Linked DNA regions of Canis lupus familiaris. The protein of the gene in region 3 interacts with the protein of the main gene of each other region in a pairwise test. Links are inferred from orthologs where the notes say so. Each region holds a gene or a part of one and is shown on either strand. Other genes may lie near its edges. The genes, in order: MOB3B, NME7 and NT5C2.

The links.
Region 1: the proteins of NT5C2 (region 3) and MOB3B interact in binary tests that used the Homo sapiens proteins (3 or more experiments, as listed by UniProt). The two-hybrid records come from large-scale screens. The link is inferred for Canis lupus familiaris from reciprocal best matches to the Homo sapiens genes NT5C2 and MOB3B.
Region 2: the proteins of NT5C2 (region 3) and NME7 interact in binary tests that used the Homo sapiens proteins (3 or more experiments, as listed by UniProt). The two-hybrid records come from large-scale screens. The link is inferred for Canis lupus familiaris from reciprocal best matches to the Homo sapiens genes NT5C2 and NME7.

Annotation. Positions count from the first base shown.
Region 1 is NC_049232.1:45,882,979-45,887,396, forward strand, and holds the start of MOB3B (MOB kinase activator 3B), read right to left. Parts: upstream 2,816-4,418; 5' UTR 2,688-2,815; intron 2,403-2,687; exon of another isoform or gene 2,293-2,402; intron 1-2,292. UniProt on the Homo sapiens protein: Modulates LATS1 expression in the Hippo signaling pathway which plays a pivotal role in organ size control and tumor suppression by restricting proliferation and promoting apoptosis.
Region 2 is NC_049228.1:29,179,353-29,183,001, reverse strand, and holds part of NME7 (nucleoside diphosphate kinase 7), read right to left. Parts: intron 2,918-3,649; coding exon 2,810-2,917; intron 2,058-2,809; coding exon 1,891-2,057; intron 1-1,890. UniProt on the Homo sapiens protein: Possesses an intrinsic kinase activity. Displays 3'-5' exonuclease activity with a preference for single-stranded DNA. Does not seem to have nucleoside diphosphate kinase activity.
Region 3 is NC_049249.1:15,734,321-15,737,969, forward strand, and holds part of NT5C2 (cytosolic purine 5'-nucleotidase), read right to left. Parts: intron 1,374-3,649; coding exon 1,256-1,373; intron 428-1,255; coding exon 332-427; intron 20-331; coding exon 1-19. UniProt on the Homo sapiens protein: Broad specificity cytosolic 5'-nucleotidase that catalyzes the dephosphorylation of 6-hydroxypurine nucleoside 5'-monophosphates.

The DNA.
Region 1 (4,418 bases), on a different chromosome or scaffold from region 3:
TAACTCTACCGAGATCATGTCAGTTATTTTAGTAATTTATGGTTGCAGTCTTGCCAAATGTTTACTATGCTAGAAGGAAGAGAATTGGCACTTTGAGTCAATAAAGATTGTCCAATTACATGGGCAGGGTCAGAAGTCAGAACAGTATGCTTTTATCAGGAGCACCTCTAATCAGAAAAAGGAGAATGTTCCCACTGGAAAAAAAAAAAATAGGTTAAGGGCATAAACTGATATCATCATAGAAGAATAAATACTAACAACAAGAAAAATGTTTAGTCTTATTTGTGGTTAAGGAAATACAAAAGAAGACAAGAGGATACCCCCCTCTCATCCTTCAGCAGAAACAAAAAAGGGTAATTATAATACAGAGCATGAGTGGGGTGCAGGATACAGGGGGAAAATATCCTCTTGTATATTGTTAGAGAGCGGGTAAAGTGGCACAACTTTCCTACAGGACAATCTTAAATATGCTTTAAAAAGTGCATTAACTCTTTCAACCTAGCTATACTAGCTCCAGAAATTTATTCAAGGAAATCACTATTCATTGGGGCCCTGTTTATAATATCTCCCTTTCTTTTGCTTTCATTTTTACTTCTCTGTATTTTCTATTTTTTCTACAGTGATTCGGGGAAGGGGAGGTTAATTCTAAAATTAAAGAAACTGTACAAGCTCATCTTCCACTACAATTATCCTGTTTTCCTTACTGGGGTAGACTGGGACAAACACTGCCCTTTCACTTTGCTAATGATGCCTTTGGGCATTTCTTGAGCAACCCAAGTCAGCCTCATTGCTTCTTTCCTGCTGCTTCTGCTGCTAAATTTCAAAGGAATCTTTCCTTAGGCATCATTTTCATAATGAAATGTTTGTAAAGTATCTCCCAGTGCCTCAAAGATTTTGCTTTTTTTTCTTTTGTTCGTCCCACCGATAAAATCCAGAAATCGCCAGAGAAAGTGCTCTGTGTCCACCTTCCTGACTTAGCAGTCTCCTCTGTTTTTCTATTTATTGAATGGAACTCAAATTTCTGTTAAGTCAGGTAAAGGGAAAACTCCTAGAACTGAAGAGCTCCCACTTAAAATGCCCGAGTGGGTTACTCAGGTCACAAGCATTTCCATGGAAGCTGGCTTCCTCCCTCCCCAGGCTTGGGGAAGGGACCAACAGGTAGAGGGTGAAAAGAGTGTGCCTGGGCGATGATTGCGCCTCCATCAGAAAAAGCTGGCAACGCTGGTCTAGTAAGGCTGAGCGTGCATAGGTTCTAACAGGTGCACAGGCTTGGCCTCCCCTCAACAGGCAAAGGGCCTCTCCAGGCACCCCGCGGGGACCCTGCCTTCCCAGGCCGGCTGCTTCGCTTTTGCCCTCCTCTTCAATAATCCACCCCCCCTAAAACAGAAGCACGATGTGGAAGCATGTAATGGTGAAGGAAGGCACAGGAACAGGGCTCCCTATGATCCAGCAGGGGCACCCCCAGGGAACCTCGGGGGCTGCCCCAAACCACTGGTTCGCAAGGACTTGGGACCGTGAGCATCGCCCCCAGCCGCGGCCGCCCCGGGTCCTCCGGGTCTGCCTTCCAAGCGCTGACAGCGGCCCCGGGACTCCGGCTTGCGGCCCCGGCCCACGTCGACATCCCACGTTCAGGCTCGGGGAGCCACCTCCCCGCGGCTTCCAGGCAAAGTCTCGAGGCTCCCCGGGTTACTTCCTTCCGCACCGTCGCCTGTGGAGCAGCCCGCGGAGCTCCGCAGACCCGGGCCTCGGCCTCTGTCCCGCCGCGAGGGCCCTGACGCCGGCTGCGGGGGGCGGGGGGCGGGGGGCGGCGGGCGAGGCCCACGCGGGAGCCGCGGACACCCGGCGCGGCCCGGAGCTCTCCCCTCCCGCCTGCGGACAGCGGCGCGTCTGGGGTCGGCGGTGCGCAGCCGCCCGCCCCCCTCGGCCCCCGCCCGCCCCCCTCGGCCCCCTCGGCCCCCCTCGGCCCCCGCCCGCCCCCCTCGGCCCCCGCCCGGCCCCCGCCCGCCCCCCTCGGCCCCCTCCGCCCCCTCCGCCCCCGCCCGCCCCCCTCCGCCCTCTAGCCTCGGGCCGGGGTGCGGCGGCCCCGCGGGGCTCGGGCTCCCCTGACGGGGGCGGGGGGCGCCCTTCTCTCCGCGAGTCCCGCCGGGTGTTGCGGAGGCAAACAATGGGGGAGCCGCGGGGGAACAAAAGGCCGCTCGTCCCATCCCACGGGCTCGGTGCCGCGGCCCCTGCGGGGAGGCCGGGTGGGAGGCGGCGGGAAGGCGGGAGAAGGAAGGGGACGGCGGGACTCACTTGCCAGGCTCCCGAAGTCCGAGGGGTCCGCGGGCGGCGAGGACGGCCGGCGGGACGCGTGTTTGACAGCTGGGGCCCGCGGGGTCCCCGCCCCCCCTCCGCTGCCCGCCCCGCGCCCCGCGCCCCGCGCCCCGCGCCCCGCGCCCCGCGCCCCGCTCCCGCCCGCGCGCACTTTCGCAAAAAGTTTGTCTCCCGCCGCCCGCCCGCAGCCCGACGGACCCGCGGCAGGCGCCCTGCGCTCGGGACGGCCCCGGGGCCCCGGCTGCGGACCGGCCCCGCCCGGGAAGGGCGCGCGCGGGCAGGGGCGGCCCCGGACGAGCGCGGCCCCGGAGCGCGGCCCCCAGGTGCGCCCGCTCCCGGCCCCCGGCCCCCGGCCCCGCGCGGCGCTCACTCACCGTGGGGCTCGGACCGCCAGCCCGCGGCCCTCCCTGCAGGCTCCTGCGCCGGGCCAGCCGCGGCCGGCTCCCGAGGACCAGGGCGAGCCGGGGCGGGCGACGGCTGCGGATCCGGATGGCGCGCGCGGCGGCCAGGAGCGCGCGGGCGGGCGGGCGGGCGGGCGGGCGCGGGGCTGGAGCTCCGGCCGCCGCCGCTCCCGAGTAGCCCCCGCAGGCGCCGGCGTGCGGCCCTCGCGCGGGGGCGCCGAGCGGGGCGGGGGGGGGGAGCCCCCTGGCGGCCGCCCGCGAAATGGCAGCTCCGTGGGCGAGGCAAGTCAGGTCGCGGGGAGGCTCCACTTGCCTCCCGCAGAGGATGGGGGGCGGGGGGCGGGGGCCGGGGGGGGGGCACCGCGCGGTGCACGCGGGCTCCCAGCCTCGCGGCACGGCAGACCCTCCCACCAGCGCGGAGAGGGAGGTAGCGCATCAGAAGGGGAAATCACCTTCTCCAAGATCTTCCGACACTCTTAGTAAGAGGAGTCACTAGACAGGAGCTTCCTAAGGAAAATAATGCCTTCCACATCTCTTTATTCCTCTATAGCACCTTAACACGTGTTGATGGAGGAGTACCAAATGGCTAAGTATTGCATTTTACGATTCTAACTAGACACTTGAAAGAGGTATTGAAATACACACATGATTTTATTTGTTTGTTTATTTATTTATTTGAGAGAGCTGCACAAGGAGGGGTGAGGGGAAGGGCAGAGGGAGAGGGAGAAGCCGACTCCCCACTGAACCGGCAGCCGGGAGTAGGGGCTTGATCCCAGGATCCTGAGATCATGACCTGATGCTTAACCAACTGAGCCACCCAAGTGCCAGGAGGTGTGGAAATATATTACGTAGAAATAGGGTAGGTGATTAACAGCCTCCTCCATAAAAGTGGCTTTGACACCTACTAAATGAGAACCTCTAAAACCACACACACATGGCTTCTATCAAGTTATTTCTCATATTGTAAGAGATATTTAACAAATAGTCATGGTCAAATGATATCAACACTGGATTAAGTGATGCCATTTAATTCTGTGCCACTTGGGCAATGCAAAGGTATTGGAGATTGTGAGTATGAGACGCAAACATGAGGGGGGACATAGATACAAATATACAGCCATTAATCAATGATTCTATTGATTATCGAGTAATGCAATTTCATTTCCAAACTGCCTCAAACCCTAGTCACTGCTTTTAAAGCTCCTCTTGTCCCTATGGCCTCATGGCAATCAGAACACTCTTCATCATCCAGAACAATCAGGATGGAAGTATCTCTTAATTACCCCAGTTTACCTTTAATTGTCCTTCCCTTTCACTCACCAGTCTCTAATCAGGAAGTCTGTTGTCTGCTTAACAATTCCTATGACAAGATCTTTTCTGTCCTGTCAAGAGAGGAAAAATAAGGTTTCTTGACTCAGAAACTAAAGCAGAACATTGAGATCCAACTTCTGCCCTTGGAGATAGGGCTCATGCTCCAGGGTACAGATGAGCAAGGGCAAGCAGGGTGAACAGGGCATTCAATTCTAATCAATAGGCCTTAATGGAACTGTCTCTGCCTCTCTCCTTGCTTTTCAGCTTTGCCTGTGGGAAAAGAGAACTTTCATTCCATTTCCACCCCTTGAGTGACTTCTTCCCTGGGGAGAAATGGTAAATCTTGTGATTGGGAGGGAGCTATTAGTATTTCCTGGATAATTTTCATCAGTG
Region 2 (3,649 bases), on a different chromosome or scaffold from region 3:
AACATTAGTAAAAAGCAATTGTTTTCAGTATAGCCTGATTTTCAGCAGCATCTCCAACATTTTTGGTCTCTCTTCTAAATCAGAACTGAGGAAAAGTCAGGATGACAAATGCAGCTCTGACAAACAATATAGAGAGAAGACTAAGGAGATACCTCTGAAAGGCACCATGCTGCAGTTTCTCTGCATCATAGGGGAGTCCACATGCACATACAGCAGAAGGGAAGAGAGGAGCTGGGGAGGCCAGCCAAAGCTCCTCCTCCATACTATTTTCAATGAAGTAAACTCATTCATTCATTCAACAAGTCTTTGTGGGGCATTCTTTGTGAATAATTTACTGTTTGGGGCATCACAATGATGGTCTTTAGAGAAACAGTTGTGAACAAGACAGACAAGTTTCTATGTCTCACAATTATGTTACTTTTTTGTTGTTTTTGTAACACTCTTCACTTGATCAGTCACTATCAGATATATATTACATCTGTGTATAAAGCTCAAGAATAGACAACATTCATTACAATCTATACAAAAATATTTTTTATATAAAAATATCTTTGTCATCTAGATCAAAGCTCATCATTTGTAAACAGGGAGGAAAGGTTTTTAAAAGGCAAGACTAGATATTAAGTTTTAAATTGTTACTCATCGATTCACTCAGGTAACACAGGTAAGGTCCTTGTAACGTGTAAGGAGATGTGCCAGGTGCCAGAAGACATGCTAACGAATTGAGGCCAAAAGAATGCAAGCATTTTCCAGGTCCTCTCATTCTCCTATGATTAAATCCTCCCATTCTTAATTCACACTGAACTGTGGGCTTCATCCTGCCTTTCCTCTTGCCCATCAGCAAGCTACTTAACATCTCCTCCAACCCTCAATCCTCCCACCTGCAAAGTGGAGCTAATTATAATAGCTCCTTTTTTATTAGGTTGTCACAGGACTCAAATAACCCATACAGATAATTTTAACATTATGCCTGATAGAATGATAGCTAGCCATCACTGAGTGCTTACCATTATTACTATTACTCTACTTCTATTTATCTCGCATATTTCTTCCTCTTCATACTTACTGTTACCATCCTAATTCAGGCTATTTTACTAAATCAAAGTTAAAAAAAAATTTTAACCACCAAACCAGTCAAGCAGAACAATGGGCTCTTCCCACAACATGACATACAACTTTCTGCCTTTGAACCTCTGCTTACACTTATCCCTCTGACCAGCATTTCCTACTCTTGATCTAAGGGGGCAAAATCCAATTCATCTTTCAGGATCCAGCTCAAATACCTTCAGAGCCTTCCTTGCTCTTCCACAAGAAATTACTTTTTTTCTGTTTCCACTGAGATTATGGACTATTTTTCCCCCATAAGCCAGGTTTATCCAATACACCAATACTTCTTATATTCAAACATTCTCAGTTCCCAGTTAAATGCACGTATGAAGAAAGATGCAGGCTTTGGGGCACCTGGGTGGCTCAGTGGTTGAGTATCTGCCTTTGGCTCAGGTTGTGATCCCAAAGTCCTGGGATCAAGTCCCGCATCAGGCTCCTGTGGGGATCCTACTTCTCCCTCTGCCTGTGTCTCTGCCTTTATCTGTGTGTTTCTAATAGATAAATAAGTAAAATCTTAAAAAAAAAAGAAAAAAGATGTGGGTATATAAATTTTTTTCCTTCAGAAAAATAATCATTGCTGAAGACTATGGCATCACTTTGTTATCTGAGTGAATAGCAACTACTGAATCTACTCTTCAAAATCCTAAAAATGTTTTAACACTGAACTGGGTCACTGACTTAGAAAAGTATCTATGCTGTAAAAACACAAGATAGAAACAAGAAATTAGAATTTTGTACCTAGACATATATAACATTTTAAGGATGAAGAAAAGATTTTCTTACTTTTCTTTCCTACTGCCCAGTTGGCGAGCGGTATATTGATCCCCATAATCAATTAGCACCAGTTGTCGAGAAAAGACATTCACTTTGTTGCCTATAAATAAATCTTCCAAGTGAAGATCATCATATTTAGTTCGCTTTAAAAAGGTGCGGTGATTCTTTACATCATGCTAGAACCAAAAACAATAGCACAATAAGACAAATAATTGTCAATAGAGAATGTTAATCTTAGTATAAATTAGAAATGATTCTTAATTTTGCTTTATTAAACATAGCTTACATTGTTTTGTTTTTGCTACAAATACAAATCATAATTTCTTTTATAACCTCCGTATTTCCTAGTTGAATCCAGTAATAACATAAAAACTTATTACAAATTTAATACTTTAAAAATGAATAGAAAATCTGTTTATTGCTAAATTATTTCAGCAAATTAGTGCTTGTGAAATCCCAGAAAAATTCCAAATTTCTGCTTTCTTGCTTACACAAAATCCCAATACCAAAGAGAGCTACCTGCAAAGTGTTTGCTAATAAAGAGACACAAAGAAATAAGTGGGACTCTCTTAACCTGATCTTCTTCAATTAGACTTGTAGAGATAACAGCTTTCAATAATGGTGACATATTTAGGACCATGATCATCTTTATCTATAACCAGTTATTGACTATTGCTTAATCTAAACATGAATAATCTCACTTCAGTTTTTCAATCGAGAAATATTAATTACTACTTGACATGAAAAATAAAGGTACAACGTTATCTTCCTGTATTGTAATTATAATACCAAAAAAAGAATTCCTATTAAAAAAAAAGAAAAAATACATTTTTTTTTCAAAAGCAGCTATATAGAAGGCAATCCTATTCCTCTCCCTATCCCACCTTTACTCCCTTTGCTAACTTTTAAGGAAAAAAAGGTTATTTACCATTTCAACAGATCCATCCCCTGGGTAAAATAAAAGCTCGTAACGTCGAAAAAGTGAAGCATTTGGATCATACCACTCTGCAATGAAAACGAACCTTTCACCATGATTCTGCAAAGAAAGAAGAATTTTAACATTAACATTTAAAATATAAGCACTCTAGTATAAATCATATAAGTTGAAAGCAAGACCTAACCAAATATTTCTAACAAATAAATCTGTTGCTACTTATTATTCTTTCAACAATACATTACTTATCAACATACCCTCAGAAATATTTTCTTCTCATTTCTCATTAAATATCCTTAGATATCTCAGAGATGACTTATGAACTGCTTAATACTTCACAACATCCAATCACCCGGAGTAAATCAACAGTTTTTAGAACATGGCTGCCTGATTTGTCTACTACAATAATTCAGCCTTCTGAAAGCAAATTTACATACATACAGACAATAAACTGTATGAGAAAAGAATTCTGAAAAGCTAGTCCTCAATTCTATGAAGTTTTAACTTTCCTAAATTTAAGAATCCAGCAGTATTAGAATACTGTCATCATTAAAGTTGATATAAATATTATAGTAAACATCCTTTCTCTCCTTAGTAATTTCACATGATAGTATCTTTTTATAGAAATTGTAGGAGAATGTTAGTCTAAGTCCACCAAGAAGCAGACACCATGACAGGATTAAACTTGCAAGAATTCTATTCCTATAGAAGAAAAGGGGGAGGGATCCAGACAGTAAGACAAATCTGACCCGAAGGAAGGAGAGAAAGGAGCCTTCATCCTGGATTGCTGCACAATCTAAGGAAGGTTCAGCAAGACCAGCAGGCAGCTCTAGA
Region 3 (3,649 bases):
CTGAGCAGCTACCTGAGAACTGTATTAAAAAGGAGAAAATAAAAATCTTAGAATTTCAAATAAGTCAAAGCCACTACAATTCTTTTTGGTGAGTTTTAAATTTAGCTTTGTTGGATGCTATATAATTAGAAACCACTTAATTTACCCAAAATGTAACTGCTAACTACATTTATAAGTCAGTTTGGGTCCTAACTGCCTAATAAGTAATTGTTAAGTATCCTTATACAAAGAATCGTTCTTTAATAATGAGGGAACAGGAAAGTATAGTACAGTACATCTGGGGAGACAAGGTATCAACACTAGAAAGAGGCTAAGGGTTCTATGTACTCACCCTCTTATGAAGTTGAATCCATGTGCACAGACCAAAAGATTTCCATATGCATCAACTTTCAAAAGATTTCCATATAGTGTATCAAAAACAAGTCCCCTATGTGAAAATGAAGACATCTGTCAGTAATACAAAAATAATATAGGCAACAGTCTTATGTAGTATTACTAAATCATCATAAACCAACACCACCTTATTCAAGCTTTTATGACAACTCAAGCATGTTCCTAAACAATATAATCCTGGAGTCTGAAGTGAGTAAAATCTTAAAAACTAAACCTAGAGCAACTAAAAAATATTTACTTTGTCCAGATAAATAATCACAACTGTTTTCTGTAAGAAATAAGAGCCTTAAATGAGGTATGAACTATAATTCTTCTTTATACAGTGGTTCCATTCTAAAGGAGTCTTAATTTCCTTGGACAAATGAACTGGCTTATATTTCTAATAGATGCTGTATATGGGACATATATGATGGCATCACAAACATCATCTTTCTTAATCTTAAACCCTCCCTATCAAATCCAAAAATGCAAACTGCCAAGAAAGCTCCCAATGACAAAGTGAAATGTATTAGTACAACATGTAACTGCTCTCCAACAGCAAACAGTAGGAGTGTCTGTGATTATTGCCCATCAGTTTTAATAATCTCTCTTTCCCATAAAGAGATATTCTTCAGTAACAATAAACTAAATTCAATTCCAAGAACAGAAAAGATACAGTGTACATGAAGACCCATGGTAATTTTAGAATAGCAACCAAAAAAAAAAAAAAAAACACAACAACAACAACAACAACCTAGAAACAAACCAAATAACCTTTTTTGGTTCTTTTCTTTGAGGCTGAGGATGGTGAGAGGTGGTTTGGAATTATTAATCTGGGGGATAGAGGAAAGGCTCTTAATTCAAAAAAATCTTGAAAAATTACCTGGTAGGGAATGTAGAATCATAAGCAAAGCTGAGCAGTTCCTGAGGGTAGCCAATAGAAACTAATCTCTCCACAGTAAGCTCAAAGCCAAGAGACTCATACTCCGGGGACTTGTACACTGCACAAAGAGGAGGTTCTCATTATAATAATAGTCAATGAAAATAAAAGGCAAATGAGTGAATTTCTACTCTTTCCTAAACTCCTCTCTCTTCCTAAATGTGCCATTTTCTTCTTTTCCCCCAAACTCCACGTTTTGTACTGCCCCAATCACAGAACTCAACTGTTAGTCTGCGGAAACAGGTTATATTTCCATAGGAGCAAGAGCAATAAGATGAATTATCAGACGTTTCAGAATAATTCTTTCATTTCTTAGGAAACTTAACCTTTTTTTTTCCCTTTACCTGTTCTTTCATGCCCACAATCTAAAGGTAGAAAAAGAAACTAAGATGCACAGCTATGATATTAACCAGGTAGAGAGGTGTATATATGTTGAAGGCTTCACTGATGTGTATAGTTAGTGTAGGAATCCTTCAAAATGACCTTAAAAAAAAAAACAAAAAAACAGTATTTTTGCAATTCCTATTTGGCTTGGTAGTTGCTTTATACTCCTTCAATCAGCACATAATTCTATTTGTCAGGATTAATTTGTTTTCTCATCAGTGCTAGAGTCTGGCTAGAGCCATCAAAATAGCATTAAGTTATTGCTGCAATATCAGCCATAAAAAGACATGCCTGAGACAATCAGGAAAATCTGGATGTGGACTGGGAACTAGATATTAAAGAATTATGACTAGGGGTAGGAGGAGGGAGAATTGGAGGAAGGCGGTCAAAAGGTACAAATTTCCAGTTACAAATAAAAATAAATACTAGGGATGTAACAGACAACATGAGGAATTTAGCTAACACCACTCATTGTATTATATACAGGAACGTTAAAAGGGTAAATCCTTAGAGTTCTCATCACAAGGAGAAAAATTTTTTCATTTATTCTTCTCTTTTCATTTTATTTATGTGAGAAGATGGATGTTAGCTGAAGCTATTATGATGATCATTTCACAATATATGCAAATCAAACCATCTTGCAGTATGCCTTATTTTTATTGTATGTCTTAAACTTATACAGTGATATACATCAGTTATTTCTCAATAAGACTGGAAATACACATTAAAAAAAGAATTAGGACTCATTTTATGAGATGTCATTATGGAAGGATGGGTATATGCAACTGTATGTATAAAATGAGCATGTGTATGTGTGTGTATATACATAGATATCTATATCTATATCTGCCAAAGAAGCCTACTAAGCCTTGTTACAGGTGAAAAAAATGTATTTTAGAATATGGGTATTTCTCTCTACTACTATAGATCTCTGAAATCTTCTATAACAAAAAACTTTTCAGAATAATCATTGCAGTTCAGTATAAAGAAAATGATGTTCCTTTAAATAGGTTTCCTCCAATGCAGTATTTAGGTAAGCATCTTCCCATCAGTGTCTAGGAGTAGATAAGCCATATTAAAGAGAAAAATAAAAAGACCTGCAATCTTGCTCAATGCCAAAAAAAATCCATTTTTATCTCACAATATTATTCTTATTAGATTACTACTGTTCTTCTATCCACAATCTATACAGCCTATGGCTCAAACTGATTTTTCACTGCAATTAGTTTGCCGGCCCAAATTAGTGCTAAATCTTAATGAGTACTATTCAACTTTTCCTTGCCAAAAGAAATCTTTTAGAGTATTTCTGGAACTACATAAAAGAAACCAGTAATACTGGTCACTTCCACAGAAGGGAACTGAGTAGCTAAGAGATGGGGAAGTACACTTTCATGTACTGTCTGTACTTTTACAACTTGTAACATATTAATGTATATATCCATTATTTTTAAATTAAGCTGAAATGTTAAGAAAGCAGGGTGAACTTTCAAAATATTTAATACCATCTGCCATATTTAAAAAGCCTAAAATTGGGGCAGCCCAGGTGGCTCAGTGGTTTAGCGTCGCCTTCAGCCTTGGGCCTAATCCACGAGACCCAGGATTGAGTCCTACGTCAGGCTCCCTGCATGGAACCTGCTTCTCCCTCTGCCTATGTCCACCCCCCGCCCCCCGCCCTCTGTGTCCCTCATGAATAAATGAATAAAATCTTAAAAAAAAAAAAAAAAAGCCTAACATTTTTAAGGTTCTTTAGGAGAAGGAGGTTCTTGAGTCTCGTCCCCTCAGAATAATGCCAAAAGAAGCCATCATTCCCTTTGATGCTAATGCTAACACTAATATTATCAAAATTGGCTACATATTTTCTCTGTTCAATTCCATCCCCATCATCACCCTTTCCCACCAAAACAAACAAACAAAAAAAACAACCGTTTTGGAATCCATGAGTGTGGAATTATT